Linked DNA regions of Mus musculus. The protein of the gene in region 2 purifies or fractionates together with the protein of the main gene of each other region. This does not show direct contact. Links are inferred from orthologs where the notes say so. Each region holds a gene or a part of one and is shown on either strand. Other genes may lie near its edges.

Evidence for each region.
Region 1: the proteins of Ctnnb1 (region 2) and Cdh3 purify together in Homo sapiens (affinity purification with western blotting; 7 studies listed by BioGRID and IntAct, with this or other methods). This does not show direct contact. The link is inferred for Mus musculus from reciprocal best matches to the Homo sapiens genes CTNNB1 and CDH3.
Region 3: the proteins of Ctnnb1 (region 2) and Tcf7 purify together in Homo sapiens (affinity purification with western blotting; 8 studies listed by BioGRID and IntAct, with this or other methods). This does not show direct contact. The link is inferred for Mus musculus from reciprocal best matches to the Homo sapiens genes CTNNB1 and TCF7.

The regions. Positions count from the first base shown.
Region 1 is NC_000074.6:106,509,414-106,513,662, reverse strand, and holds the start of Cdh3 (cadherin-3 isoform a preproprotein), read right to left. Parts: upstream 2,812-4,249; 5' UTR 2,705-2,811; coding exon 2,657-2,704; intron 2,440-2,656; coding exon 2,322-2,439; intron 1-2,321. UniProt on the Homo sapiens protein: Cadherins are calcium-dependent cell adhesion proteins. They preferentially interact with themselves in a homophilic manner in connecting cells; cadherins may thus contribute to the sorting of heterogeneous cell types.
Region 2 is NC_000075.6:120,932,226-120,936,247, reverse strand, and holds the start of Ctnnb1 (catenin beta-1), read right to left. Parts: upstream 2,849-4,022; 5' UTR 2,610-2,848; intron 1-2,609. UniProt on the Homo sapiens protein: Key downstream component of the canonical Wnt signaling pathway.
Region 3 is NC_000077.6:52,280,117-52,284,329, forward strand, and holds the start of Tcf7 (transcription factor 7), read right to left. Parts: upstream 2,812-4,213; intron 2,663-2,811; coding exon of another isoform or gene 2,596-2,662; intron 2,480-2,595; exon of another isoform or gene 2,438-2,479; intron 2,131-2,437; coding exon of another isoform or gene 2,102-2,130; coding exon 2,006-2,101; intron 1,648-2,005; exon of another isoform or gene 1,629-1,647; intron 1-1,628. UniProt on the Homo sapiens protein: Transcriptional activator involved in T-cell lymphocyte differentiation. Necessary for the survival of CD4(+) CD8(+) immature thymocytes. Isoforms lacking the N-terminal CTNNB1 binding domain cannot fulfill this role.

The sequences.
Region 1 (4,249 bases), on a different chromosome or scaffold from region 2:
TCTCTCTCTCTCTCTCTCTCTCTCTCTCTGTCTCCTCTCTGTCTCATACACACTTGGGCTAGTGGATGAAAGTGTTTGCTGAGCAAGCCTGAAAACTTGAGTTCAATATCAGGAAGCCACAGAGGGAAGAAAAATAGACTTCTGAATGCACTCTGGCCACAAATAATAAATATTCTTATTGGGTGTTTTTGGTTCGTTTTGGTTTTTTGATAAAGGGTCTCACTATGTTGCCCTGGCTGGCCTGGGAGAGCATCTGCCTATGACTTCTGATGGGATTAAAGGTGTGCATCACCACCACAGCAAACTAAGTAATTTTTTAAAAAGGAGCTAGGATTTTGCTATAGTCTCTATGTTGGGCTAAATTCCTGGGACCAAGAGATCCTGTCTCGTCTCTGAAGCAGCTGGGACTATAAGCACACCATCTAGTTTGCAAAGTCTCAACTTACTAGCACTAAGTGGGCCGGAAACTTGCTTTCACTCAAGACCAAAGTGATTTCCCATTTCCAGGGAAGTCTGTCCCGAGAGTCAGTAGTGTTTGTCGGGAAAATCACGATGTGCCAAGCACATTAGTCTACTCTGTTTTATTAACCAGGTACATTCTTGGTACAAGCCTACCATTTTCACAATCATAAACCAGACATCAGAGAAAGCAGAATTTCCTCAGGAAAAAAAAAAGTTTTAAAATTGGTGATGTCACCAGGAAGCTCAGGCCAACTCAACCATGTAATCAAAACCCTGATCAGCAACCTCAAGCCAAGGAAAGTGGCGGCTAATCTGATACTTTTTGCTTCAGTAAGGAAGATAAGACACAACTCAAAGCTATACCTGCTCTCTGAATACAGCAGAGGATGTGGAGGTGGGGGTGAGGGCTGGGGTGGGGGCGTGGGGTGGGGGGAGGTGGATTTGGCAGAGATCTGGTCAGCCATAGAGCTTCCTCAGGGAGCCAGAATTGGATTTGGGGCCCTGGCCAAGTTAACATTTTTACAGGTTGGCTCAGTTGCAGTTTGTTAGCCCGCCAGTAATAAACCCATGTGCAAGAATTTAAAGTTTATGAGGCATGGCCTCTTACTGCCTAGGCTCCGGCTCCCTACAGCCAAGCCTTTAAGGAACCTAGCCTAGCCTGGGTGTTAATTGTTTTGTCAATCTGCAGAGTTATTTGAGGAAAAAAAAAATTTTTTTTTTAAAAAAGGCGTTCTACAGACACAAGGGTCTCACTTTTCTTTTGGAGAAACAAAGGAAAGTCATTCTGCTTCTCAGCGTGGACACCCCCATATTCAAGCTGTGGACGTGTGGACCTGGAGTGAGAAGCACTAGAAAATGCTAGGTGGCAGATGCTTTTTGGAAGTCAGCAGAAACTAGAGATTCCCTTCCCACGTTCTCTGGAACTTTACTTAAGGATCCGAGTTTAACAACTTGGGTTTAAACTCCCGAGAAAAATCCCACTGTCCTCTGTAGTCAAAGAGCCCGCTAACCAGCTGATAGATGCCCGAGTCTCATGACACACTGGTGGTTCTCAGTACCGAAATGACCCTCCACTTTTAAGTTTTTGAACTTGAGTGGAGAAAATCGCAACAGAAAGATCAAAATGTGCTTTGATCGCTCGCTCGCTCACTCACTGGTCGGCTTGGGACACAGACTGCCTTCCCCCCTTCCCCCGCGACTCAAGTAATTAACATCCTAGTACCAAGACGCTTGGAGTGAGGGACCTAGTGTTCCCGGTGCGTGATGCCCTCCGCCCAGGTGTGCCAGGCCATTCGCAGGCAGGCTGCAGGGGCGCAGGCCCTCCGGGAATGGCAGGGTTAAGAGTGCATTCCAGCTGCCCGGGAAGAAGGGGGGCGGGGAGGGCAGCCTGGAGAAGAGAAACAGACCGGGTCTGTCTGTCGGAGACACAAAGCACGGTTCACAAAGGGGGCCAGAGAAGGGGCGAAGGGGGCTGCTCAGGGCACGGTTCATCTCCACACCTGCGCGGGGGTTGCGGGAGGAATGTGCACTGCGCATTCCTCTACTGTGGCGGGGCGGGAGAGTTTTCCACGTCGGGGCTGGGTGAGGGGCTCAGCCGCGAGGCACCGAGAGGTCAAGATAAGCAACAACAGTAGCAGCGAGGCACAGAAGAGCTGGACGTTAGTAGGCGCACCGTTGCTCAGCCTTCTCGCGCCCAGCCCAGCCCGGGAGCCACTTTCTACGCCTCCCGAGGATGTGGGGTGGCTCCAAGACGTCCCAGCTCTGCTCTAGACAACCTTCCGATGCGCCACAGTAAAGCGAAGCACGTGTGGTCTTCCGCACTGTGGCTCCATCCAGGCTGGCTCCGGGAGGGGTCTTACCTTTCCCCAGAACTTGGCTCGGCTCCAGGTCAGTTCCTTCCACCTCCAAGGTCACTCCAGCCTCCCCGATGAAGCCCGCTCGGTAGGGCTCGGAGACCACGCTGCGTAGCCAGCAAACCTGAGTGTGAGGGTAGAAGGGTTAAAGAGGAGGCTGAGTCACAGGCATGCCTGGTTCTGTACACCCATTCTTGGGAGTCCTGGGGGGGGGGCCCTCCGGGACAACCTTGGCCCCAAGGAGCACAGCCCTAAGATTCCCCCGACGCCCGCAGCGTGAGAACCCCACCCGCCCTCCAGGGAACAATCCGGGTCAGGACCATGGCAAAGCACTGTGGTACCTGGAGCAGGAGGAGCAGGAAGGCGTGAGGCCCACTAAGAAGCTCCATAACTGAAGGGAGGTGAGAAGGCTGCCGCGACGGTGGGGCGCGCTCTGCTAAGCTCCGGGTGCAGCTTTGAGCACCGCGGCTCGCTGGAGCCCGCGGGAGGAGGCCAGGTGCGCTCAGGTAGCTGCTGATTGGTCCAACGTCACAAGGTCCCGCCCCCTCGCAGGTGGGGTCGAGGCCAGCCTGCCGAAGGCACTCTCGAAGCCCTAAAGGTCCTCCCTGGTGCCCTCCACCGGCCTCCCTGCTCTTCTGGAACTACTTCTGAAAGGTACCCCGTGGCTCTCGCAGTCTCTGGCTTCGATGGAAAATAATCTAACAAAACAAAACCCCCCAATCCACTCCACCTCAGCCTCTGCAGCACGGGAAGACAAATATTCCATTGCTGGCAGCTACAACGGAAAAAAAGTGGAGACGCATCTGAAACCCGACAAAAAAACAGAGGCTCCCCATTCATGCTACCGGAGGCGCTGTGTTCAAAGCTTTGATGAAGGCAGGGCGTGTCTTTACACCCGCTACAGAGGGGTCTGCCCTCTGCCACTTTCTCTACCTCCCACACTAGGCCGGGGAGGGGCAGGGGCGGGGGCGGGGGAGCGCTCCCGGGTTTTAAAAGTGGCATCGAGGTCTCAAAGGACCGCGCTACGCGATCTGATACACGTGTGAGAGAATAGTAACTTCCGTTTGCAGCTGGACAAATGGAAGGCAGCTAGTACAGAAAGTCCCAGAGTTTGGAAGCCATAGTAACTTCAAAGGGCTTGAGGTAGGGCACAAGCTATTTGTTATCAGCCCCATTATTTCTGGCACCCCCAATATAAATGTTTTCTTTCTCCAAATATAATTGTTTCCTTAATTTTATGTTAAATGCAAACAATGGAGATTTTTGCGTTATTTATTATTGTCATGTATGAATGGCCCATCGCACACATGTGAAGGTCAGAGGACGACTTTGTGGAGTTGGTTCTCGCCTTCCTCCTTTAAATGGATTCTGGGATTGAACTCAGGTCGTTAGGATTGTGCATTACCTGCTGGGCCCAAACTTTTTTTTTTAACACTTATTTATGTATTTATTTATTTTATGTGAGTACACTGTCGCTGTCTTCAGACACACCAGAAGAGGGCATCAGATCCCATTACAGATGGTTGTGAGCCACCATGTGGTTGCTGGGAATTGAACTCAGGACCTCTGCAAGAGCAGCCAGTGTTCTTAACCTCTGAGCCATTTCTCCAGTGTGCTTTACCTGCTAAACCATCTCCTTTGTCCGTTTTTTGTGTTTGCTTGTTTGTGTGGTTTTTTTTTTTTTTTCTTTTGTTTTGAGGCAGACTCTCACATTGTAGTCTCAGGCTGGCCTTGAATTCATTCAAACCTTCTGTCTCTGGCTCCTAACTGCTGGAATAAAAGACAATGACCCACAATGACCAGCTTAACAATGATGACTTTTTAAAAAAAGTGTAATGTGTCTCAGGCTGGCCTGAAACTATGCACCTGGGATGGCCTTGAACTTCCGATTCTCCTGCCTCTACCTTCCTAGTACTAAGACCTTGTACCTAGTA
Region 2 (4,022 bases):
TCCTTTTATAAAACTTGTAGCTAACCTAGGAACCACACCATGACCGGTGTTGCTGAAGAGCAAGCATCGCAGGGCTGCCTAACATTCCTCAAGCTGCGTCCTCTCAGGACAGAGGCTGCCTCCACAGGCCTCAGAACTGTAGCTGCTCATCTACTTTACTCTCTGTGGCATGAAGATGTCTTCAGTGAGATTGTTTTAAATAAAAAGGAGTTGACAGGGGCCACAAAACAACAAAAGAAAATGGAGTTAAAATGTTTGTACGTTTGCAAGGTTTTTACGAGTTTGTGAACACCGTTTCAGGAGTTTGTCCCTCGGGTTTGCTTCTGGCCAAGGACACTAAAAATTTACCACTAGGTGATGGGCAGAGACCACGACCTGGCCTCACCTCACCTCACCTCAGCACTGATATTTCAGTTGACTCCATCTACTTTCACTGTCCACTTCCTGCTTAGAAGTACAGCAACAAACGACTGTAAATATACCACTCCACTCCACTCGCCACCTGCAGTGTGCACAGGCTCTTGTCCATGCTCTGCCCTGAGTTTATTTGCAAAAGGGCTCCACCAGTTTTCCTGAGCACACATTTCAAAATACACTCCGACTAAGAAAGTTCCCCATCCTCCACCTTGGCGGTGGGATTCTGGGATTCTGAGACTCGTGAGCTAAGGCTTCACTCACAGTCTCTAGTCCCATCGTCACTACAGCAGTAGATACTTCCCTTCAAGCTGGAGACATAGATACCCAATATACAGTCTCTAAACTAGTGTTCTCAATCTGGGGGTTCAACAACCCTTTCACAGGGGTCACCTAAGACCGTGGGAAAACATTTACATTATGGTTCACAACAGTAGCAAAGTCAGTTGTGAAGTAGCAAGGAAAGTTTTACGGTTGGGGTCACCATAACAGTTGAGAAACTATTTTAACAGGTCACAACATCAGGAAGACTGACTGAGAAGCACTGCTCTAGACTATGAGAAATGATCACATGACAGTTAAACTCTATTTCTTCACGCCTGCATTCGATTAAATGTTTCCCTATCTGAAGATAGTCTTTTTACAGACTGTGAGGCCCAGGACTCTGTCCCAGGCAAGCTAAGCTTTCCAGATAGCCTGCTTCCTTAATTAAGGACTTCAGCCTGGGAGGGTTTGTTGTAGAGAAACATCTGCAAGTTTCCAACTTCCTTGCCACCACTAAAGGCCTTGTCCAGACTCGGCCTTGAGGACAAAGGTTAGGTAGGTCACAGAATGACTATCCCCAGTACCATCAACAATGTTGTCCGCTGTGAAAGGGCGTTCTCAAACAAACCTTGGAGGCACTTCATTTTAATTTCGGGGATTTCTGAATGTTTAAGGTGAAAGTGAACTAAATGTAACTGCGGGCCTTAACTCAAAGTTTGAGCCGGACATACAAAACCGAAATACAAAGGCCACAAGCTTAAGCAACATTAAATTAGAACCAAGAAAGCAAGCTCTTTCCCGGGACGAGGAGAGACTGCACTGAGACATCTGCAAACCTCAAGTAAATAGCGAAATGGCTTCCTAAATCCCAGACAAAACGCTTCACAACTTGGCCATGTGAAAAACATGAGGCAGACTTTATCAAAGGCAAAGCTGCCGTCTCCTCAGCTTGCTGTCTGGTCTAAGCCACCATTATTCATGGCACAAAGCTCTCGTTTCACTAAAACCACTCCTCGATTTCCTCTCGCCGACCTCCGCATACCAGCAGCCCAGCCGCTCTCCATTCAGAGCTCAGGCCCCGGGAGGGGGGCTGCGGGGGGCGCGGGGGAGGGGAGCCCACAGATGTCTGGAGACCCGAGCCCGAGACAAAGCTGCCCCGCAGCCAGCGGGCTCACCGGAGCGGGCCTGGGGTACCGAACTTGGGAGCGTCGGTTCCAAGTCTGGTCCCCCAAACAACACTCAGAACAAGTCGCCAGGCTCCCACGCCCTGGCGGTCCGCGCTCCGGCCACTCCGTCTCGCTCAGAAAGCAAACGCGCTGGGGAGAAACACTTGGAGCGGACCCCACACTTACTGGCTAAGGGCAAGTCCCCCTCCCCCAAGCCCAGGTTTCGGATCCCGCGCACCTCCCCCCCCCCCCGCCTCCAACACCAGGAGTGGCCGGTGACTCGTCCACGGTCCCAAATTCCCGCCAGGACCTCGGCCCCGCAGCCACCAACCCCACGCGAGTCCAAGAAGCCACCCTCCGAGAACACGCTCCTGACGCATCCCGCCCGCTGCATCCAAGTTTGGCGACTCCACGGCTTAAAGTTGTTTGGATTCAAACTCACAGTCAGGTCGTTGCAGGGAGAAAAAAAAATTTGTCTGTGCGTGCTCCACGAGGGACAGAGGGGACGAGCGCCAGGTCTCGCGTCCCCCCGGCTCCGCGGGCCACGGAGGCGAGGCCCCCGCCCACCCCGCCCCCGCGGCGGCCCCAGCCCGGACGCGAACCGCGGTCCCCACCCCCCACGGCGGCCAGCCGTCCATCCGGGCTCCCGGCGCGCGCCCGCCCGGCCCCGGCCCCAGCCCGCGCGTCCCCGCGGCCTCCCGCCGCCACCCGGCCCGCGAAGTTTCCCGCTGGCGCGGCGCGAGCCGGCCCGCCGCGGCGCCGCACCTCAGGCCCGCGCGCTGCTCACTCGCGGCCGCCCGCTCGGCCTCGGCCTCCTGCACTGACGGCTCGGCGCCCACCGTGCTCCGTCTCCGCCTCCCCGGGCCGCGGGCTTCACAGGACACGAGCTGACGCGGCCGCCACCGAGCGAGGGCTTAAGATGGCGCCGCACAAGGAGCGATTTATAAGCGGCGCGGCACCGTGTATCCTGCCGCTGCCGCTCCGCGCGGAGCGTTCCGCCGCGCGAGGACGAGGGGCGGGGCGCGGGCGGGCCGGGGAAAGTAGTCCCCGCCAGTCCGAGTCGCTCTGCGCGTGCGCCGCCGGGAGGGGCCGAGCCGGGGCGGGGCGTCCAGACGCCGCTCCATTGGAAACTAAAGGAATCGAGAGCGGGCCGCCGCCGCGGGCCGGGTGGAGTGCGGCCTCGGACGGCGCAGGTTCGAGGCTGCCATCACCGGTGCACCGGCCGCCACACCCCTGAACCACCATTGGACCCCACCACACTTTACCGCTCCCAGGAGTGTCCCGCTTCCCTTCCCGCTGTGCCTCTGGAATCCGGACAGGGAACCTGGGGCCCAGCCACCTTTCCTCCCCACCCCAGGAGGCCTTGGAGTCCCCAAGAGTGTCTGCGAACATCTATTAACAAGTGATTCAGCTCCACCACTGCGTTCACCAGCGTGATTCCTAGAAACCCCATCTTACCCAGACTCACTGGGTCAGTAGAACCAGGCGTGGGGACCAAGGACAGCGATTTTTCTGTATTGTTTGAGAAACTCGAGTGTGTTGCTGAGAGGACCTGTGGGTAACCTCTTAAATTTTCAAAACTAATTTTGTATCCTTCGAGAGCTCCCCCCCCCCCAAATCATGACAATAGGGTGAAGTTGGATCTTCTCTTGGAAATGGCCCCATTGTTGTCCTTCACGATTGGCACTTGTCAAAACTGGAGCAGTTGGGGTGAATTGGCTGTCTCCAGCCTATTATTCTGAGCTCACGTCTCTTCCCAAACAATGGCAACAGGGAAAGTTGCCCCACTGCCTTCTTTCATCCCAGCGCTGTAATTAACGCAAGTAAACAATAGGTCCTTATGTACAGGTACTGGCAGGAAGCCCATGCATCACTGAGGCAGGGCCGGTGCTGTAGGGCCAGCTTAGTTTTTAAATGACTCAATTTTCTATCTTAAAGACATATCACCGTAACTCTGTGAACCACCACAGTCCACCATGCTGGAGCTGCTCAGTGAGGGCCTTTGTCTAGACCTTTCCCCTCTGCAGCTCTGCTCGGATTTCCGGAGAGTAAACTCTGCTGCTGGCTGGGGCTGACTTGGCCTGCCATAACTCAGAGAGATAGAGCAGGAAAAGGTATTTTACCAAAGCCCTACCAGTGGTGGTTGCAGCTACCAACCCCTAATTTTAATTGTCACAT
Region 3 (4,213 bases), on a different chromosome or scaffold from region 2:
GGGCCAGGAAGACGGCATAGCAGCTAAACCGACTTGTGCAAGCCTGATGGTGAGTTCCAGCCTCAGAACTCATGTCACAGCGGAGAGAGCCAACTTCAGTTATCCTCGGGGTGTGCTTGCCCTCATATACATTACACACATGCACACACTTGTGTATATACACACATACACACACACACACACACATATATAACGAATAGTCTCTCTGCATTCCTACACATCTATGTCCCTAACCCAGCACCCCTCCAGCACAAGCCCCTGCTTCTGTCTTTGTTTCTTATTCTGCTCAGCAGCTGATACCATGGCCAGGAAAGTCAGTACCAGAGCCTACTCTCCCTCTCCCATGTTACCAGAAGGCAGTGATGAGGGCAGTGGCTGAGAAGGAGGGCAGGGGGACAGTGACGTGTAGTTATTCATCTGTTGTAGCTTGAGAAGGACCCCCAAAGCAAAATATGCAGAGCCCTAAACTAGGTGACTATGGTCCTGACTGTGGGAACCCACCATTCTCCTGCTCTTGGACCTCCCTGAGATCCATCACCCTTACCCTCAGGCTGAACAGTCACACCGCTAACTCATGCCCACCTCCGGCAGCTCTGGGCAGCTTATGTCTCTGGCTAAATCTGTGAGTAAACCTCCAAACCACACTGCCCTTTCCCCGTGTGGCTGGACAGTCCTGAACATCCACCTTGCCAGCAAGGTTCTGGGGGCTCTGCCTTTTGTCTCATCATGGCTACCGCAGTGAGCCTAGTCTCAGCCCAGACAATGCTTGCCAGTGACTTCAAAGGGGTAGGTTCTGCCAACTGACCCCCAGATGGCTTTACACCCATTAGGGGATTTTAAAAGGTTATCTTGGTTAAGCACTGTTTGTACAGGGCACAAGTCTCTATCTAGAGCATGTGGCACTGTCAAGTGGCAGTGTCAGGAGCCAGCCACCTCTTTACATACAAGAGAAGCACCTCATCTACCAAGCCATCCCAGAGCCGAAAGGCAGAGACAGACAGACAGAAGCCATCCCAGAGCAGAAAAGCAGACAGACAAACAGACCATTCTGTCAACACACACAGCTTACAGGTAAAGAATGGAGTCCACTTCTAAAGACTACCAGGTCTCCCTCGGCTAAGAGGCCTAGACTCCCTATCCTAGCCCCCTACCGGGGAGCCTTCTGCATGGGTCTGCCACTCGCCATCCAAGGCTCTACCCCGGGGCTCCAACCTGCACTGGGCTCACGGCGACACCCAACAGACCTCCATGCTTCCTGTACACCCTAACTCCTGACTGAGGACACTCTGGAATCCCAGTAGTTTTCAGGAACCCCAGAACTTTTCAAAAGTCATATTTGGCTGCTACCCAGCTCAGAACCAGCCCTTCACACTTTGCTTGCCTTGAAGGGCCAAAGCCATGGCTCATGATGAATACAGCCGTGTCGCCAAGCCTGACACTGATTCACGTTGCTGACCCCTAACCAACACCCTGATCTGTCCTACATTTAGCAAACCTTTCCTTGTGTGTGCGAGAGCAGCCCAGCCCGCTCAAAACCTACACCATGTGGCATGGGTCCTCGGCAAGGACTTATACACGGCAGTCAGGACACAGTGGAACTGGGCAACGGAAAAGATTAGGTCTCTTACCCAGTCTTCTCACACCCGAGTTCCCTCGCTTCTCTGAAGGAAAAAAAAAAAAGCTAACCACAGAGCTCTAGCTCAGAGCATGCACATCACGCTAGGGAATGGCATGGGCTCAGCTCAAAAACGTTTTCAACCCCACCGTGGGCCAACACAGGCACCTGCTTGAGCAAGTTGGGAAGACAAAGGTCAAAAGCAAGTGAGAAAGACTGGAGCCGGGGCGCTCCTTCAGAGATCTCCTTTTGGGTCAGACTCCTCTGGATGTTAACTGGGCAAGAGCATCTAGGAATTGGGCAGAGAAGTCCTTTTTTGTCCAAGCATCACCTGTGTGGTCAAGTAGGTAGCCAGCCCCATTACAGGGCCTGACTGCTTCGGTCACTTACCAGCGGGGGTTGAGGCTGCGGATGCTGCCCTGCTCCGGAGGCCGGTGGGTAGGGCATGAGCAGATTGAAGGCAGAGTAGACAGTCTCTTTGTACATGCCACTGGCACACTCCGGGGCCTTCAGGCCTGGAAAAACCACAGCTGGGTCAGACACCAGCCCAGCCAGCTGCTCCTAAGGACTGAAGGCTGTCTGCTCCGGAGGGGGGTTAAAAAAAAAAAAAAAACCCTGCCAAGGGGTCCCCTTCAAGTTCGTGACTTGACAGGGAACAGCGACCTCCGAACGGGTGGAAATATCCGCAAAGGCAAGTTTTTGAGGAAAGACCCCCGAGTCCAGACCTCCACTTCGCGACCGGGACTTGACTCCCTACCCCACCCTCCTGCTTGGGAACCTTAGCCAAGGCTTGCTCCTCAAGGCAAAGGATTAGTCAGTCACCTGGGCTGGAGGGGAGGCGGAGATGGCGGGGGTCTGTTTACTCCTATAAAGGTCAGGGCACCGGAAGTGACTCCAGCTCAGCGGCGCCCGGGAAACCCGCCCCCCACACCCCCACCCCCGGTTCTAGCGCCTTCTTCCCCAGCCGCGCAAAAACTCACCGTCCTCTAGGGACTCTGGAAGTTTGTCCGGGAAAAGTCTCTGCGAAGTGTGCTCCCGTCCCAGGGCCTGCAGAGCGAAGCAGAGGGGCCATGAGGAGCGGAGGGAACAGGAGGGGCTCCAGAGATGGGACCCACGAGGACCGTGGCGCGGGGGGGCGGGTCCGCACGCTACCAACTCGGGACGAGGTCCTCCGGGGAGGAGCGGGCCGGGCTCACCTCGGGCGCTCCCTCGGCTTCTCCATGTACTCGGACGCCGGGACCCGGGACCCCGGCGCCTGCGGCCGCGCCTTCGGACTCATTCACCAGTGAGGACTTGAGCTCTGCCAGGTCCCGCTCCGGGCCCACAGCGCTGTCGCGATTCTTATCGTCCTGTTCCTCGCCTTCGTCTTGGAAGGCCAGCAGCTCGTCGGGCGCGCCGAGGTCGTCGCCTGCGCCCGCGCCGCCCCCGCCCGAGTCCAGCTGCGGCATGGTGCGCTGCGCCCGCCGGGGCGCCGGGTGCGGGGCGCGGAGCCGGCCGGGAAGGCGGCGAGCCCAGGGTGCGGGGCTCCGAGCCCGGAGCGCGGCGGGCGGAGCGCACGCTGACTCCGCCTGAGCGGCCAGTGGGCGCGGGGCGAGGGCGCGGGGCACAGCAGCTTTGGGAGCCGGCGGGTCGGAACATCAAAGGCACCGCGGGCAGCGAGCCGGGGGCGGGGCGGGCGCCGGGGCGGGGCCGCGGTGGGAGGGGCTAACGTCCCAGGCCCCGCCCTCCCCTCCCTGGAGAGACCGGGACAGGCCCACTGGGAATAATCTTAAAGGGCTCGCTCTCCAGCTATTCTCTAACCTGAAATCCATTACTAAACTCTGGAACTCCATTTCCTTAACTATCATACAGCCACAACTTGCGTCCAAGTTGCGGAGAAGGTGGTTCCTTAGACCGGTGGAACCTGTGGATGACTTGGAACCTTGGTGTGAACAGCGTCCTTTGCTCAATCTGGAGGCTTCTTACGTCCCCGGGATACTAGATGGACCCTGACACACACACACACACACACACACACACACACACACACACAAACACCTGCCCTTTTGATCATCCCTGTGCCGATTAGGGACCTTATTCCAGACAGCCTGCTTACATAGACACAAGCATTAGCGCCTCACACATTTATTGAGCTCCTGCCTGTTGTTGCATGTGCAAATCAAACACTATAAATATATGACATGTGGTGGCTCGAGGCGAGGAAGGATCGTGGCCACTCACGTGGTTTCTCCAGCCCGCTATGACTTTTTCAACTAAGTTCGACGCTTAGAACCTGCTGTCCAGGAACTGAGACTTCCGGCGGCCACATGGGTCACGAAATTCTCTCTTGGGGTCTTTAGGCAGCTGCTCAGTCTGGGAAGTTGCATCCGGAGCCCATTGACTCAGACGCTAGTTAAGGCCGCGTCTTCAGTGGCATCTCCTTGGCACCCAGCATCGAATTCACCACGACCGATCACTGTTTCTGTAAGACACTAGGCCCTTTGGATAGCCATGCAGTAAACTGAAGGTCGCACACCTCCGCCTCAAGAACGTTTCGGTGTTGGAGTCAATGTAGACCTCTTCCACCTCTTGGGAAAGCAGTTGAAACAACAGTGGGTA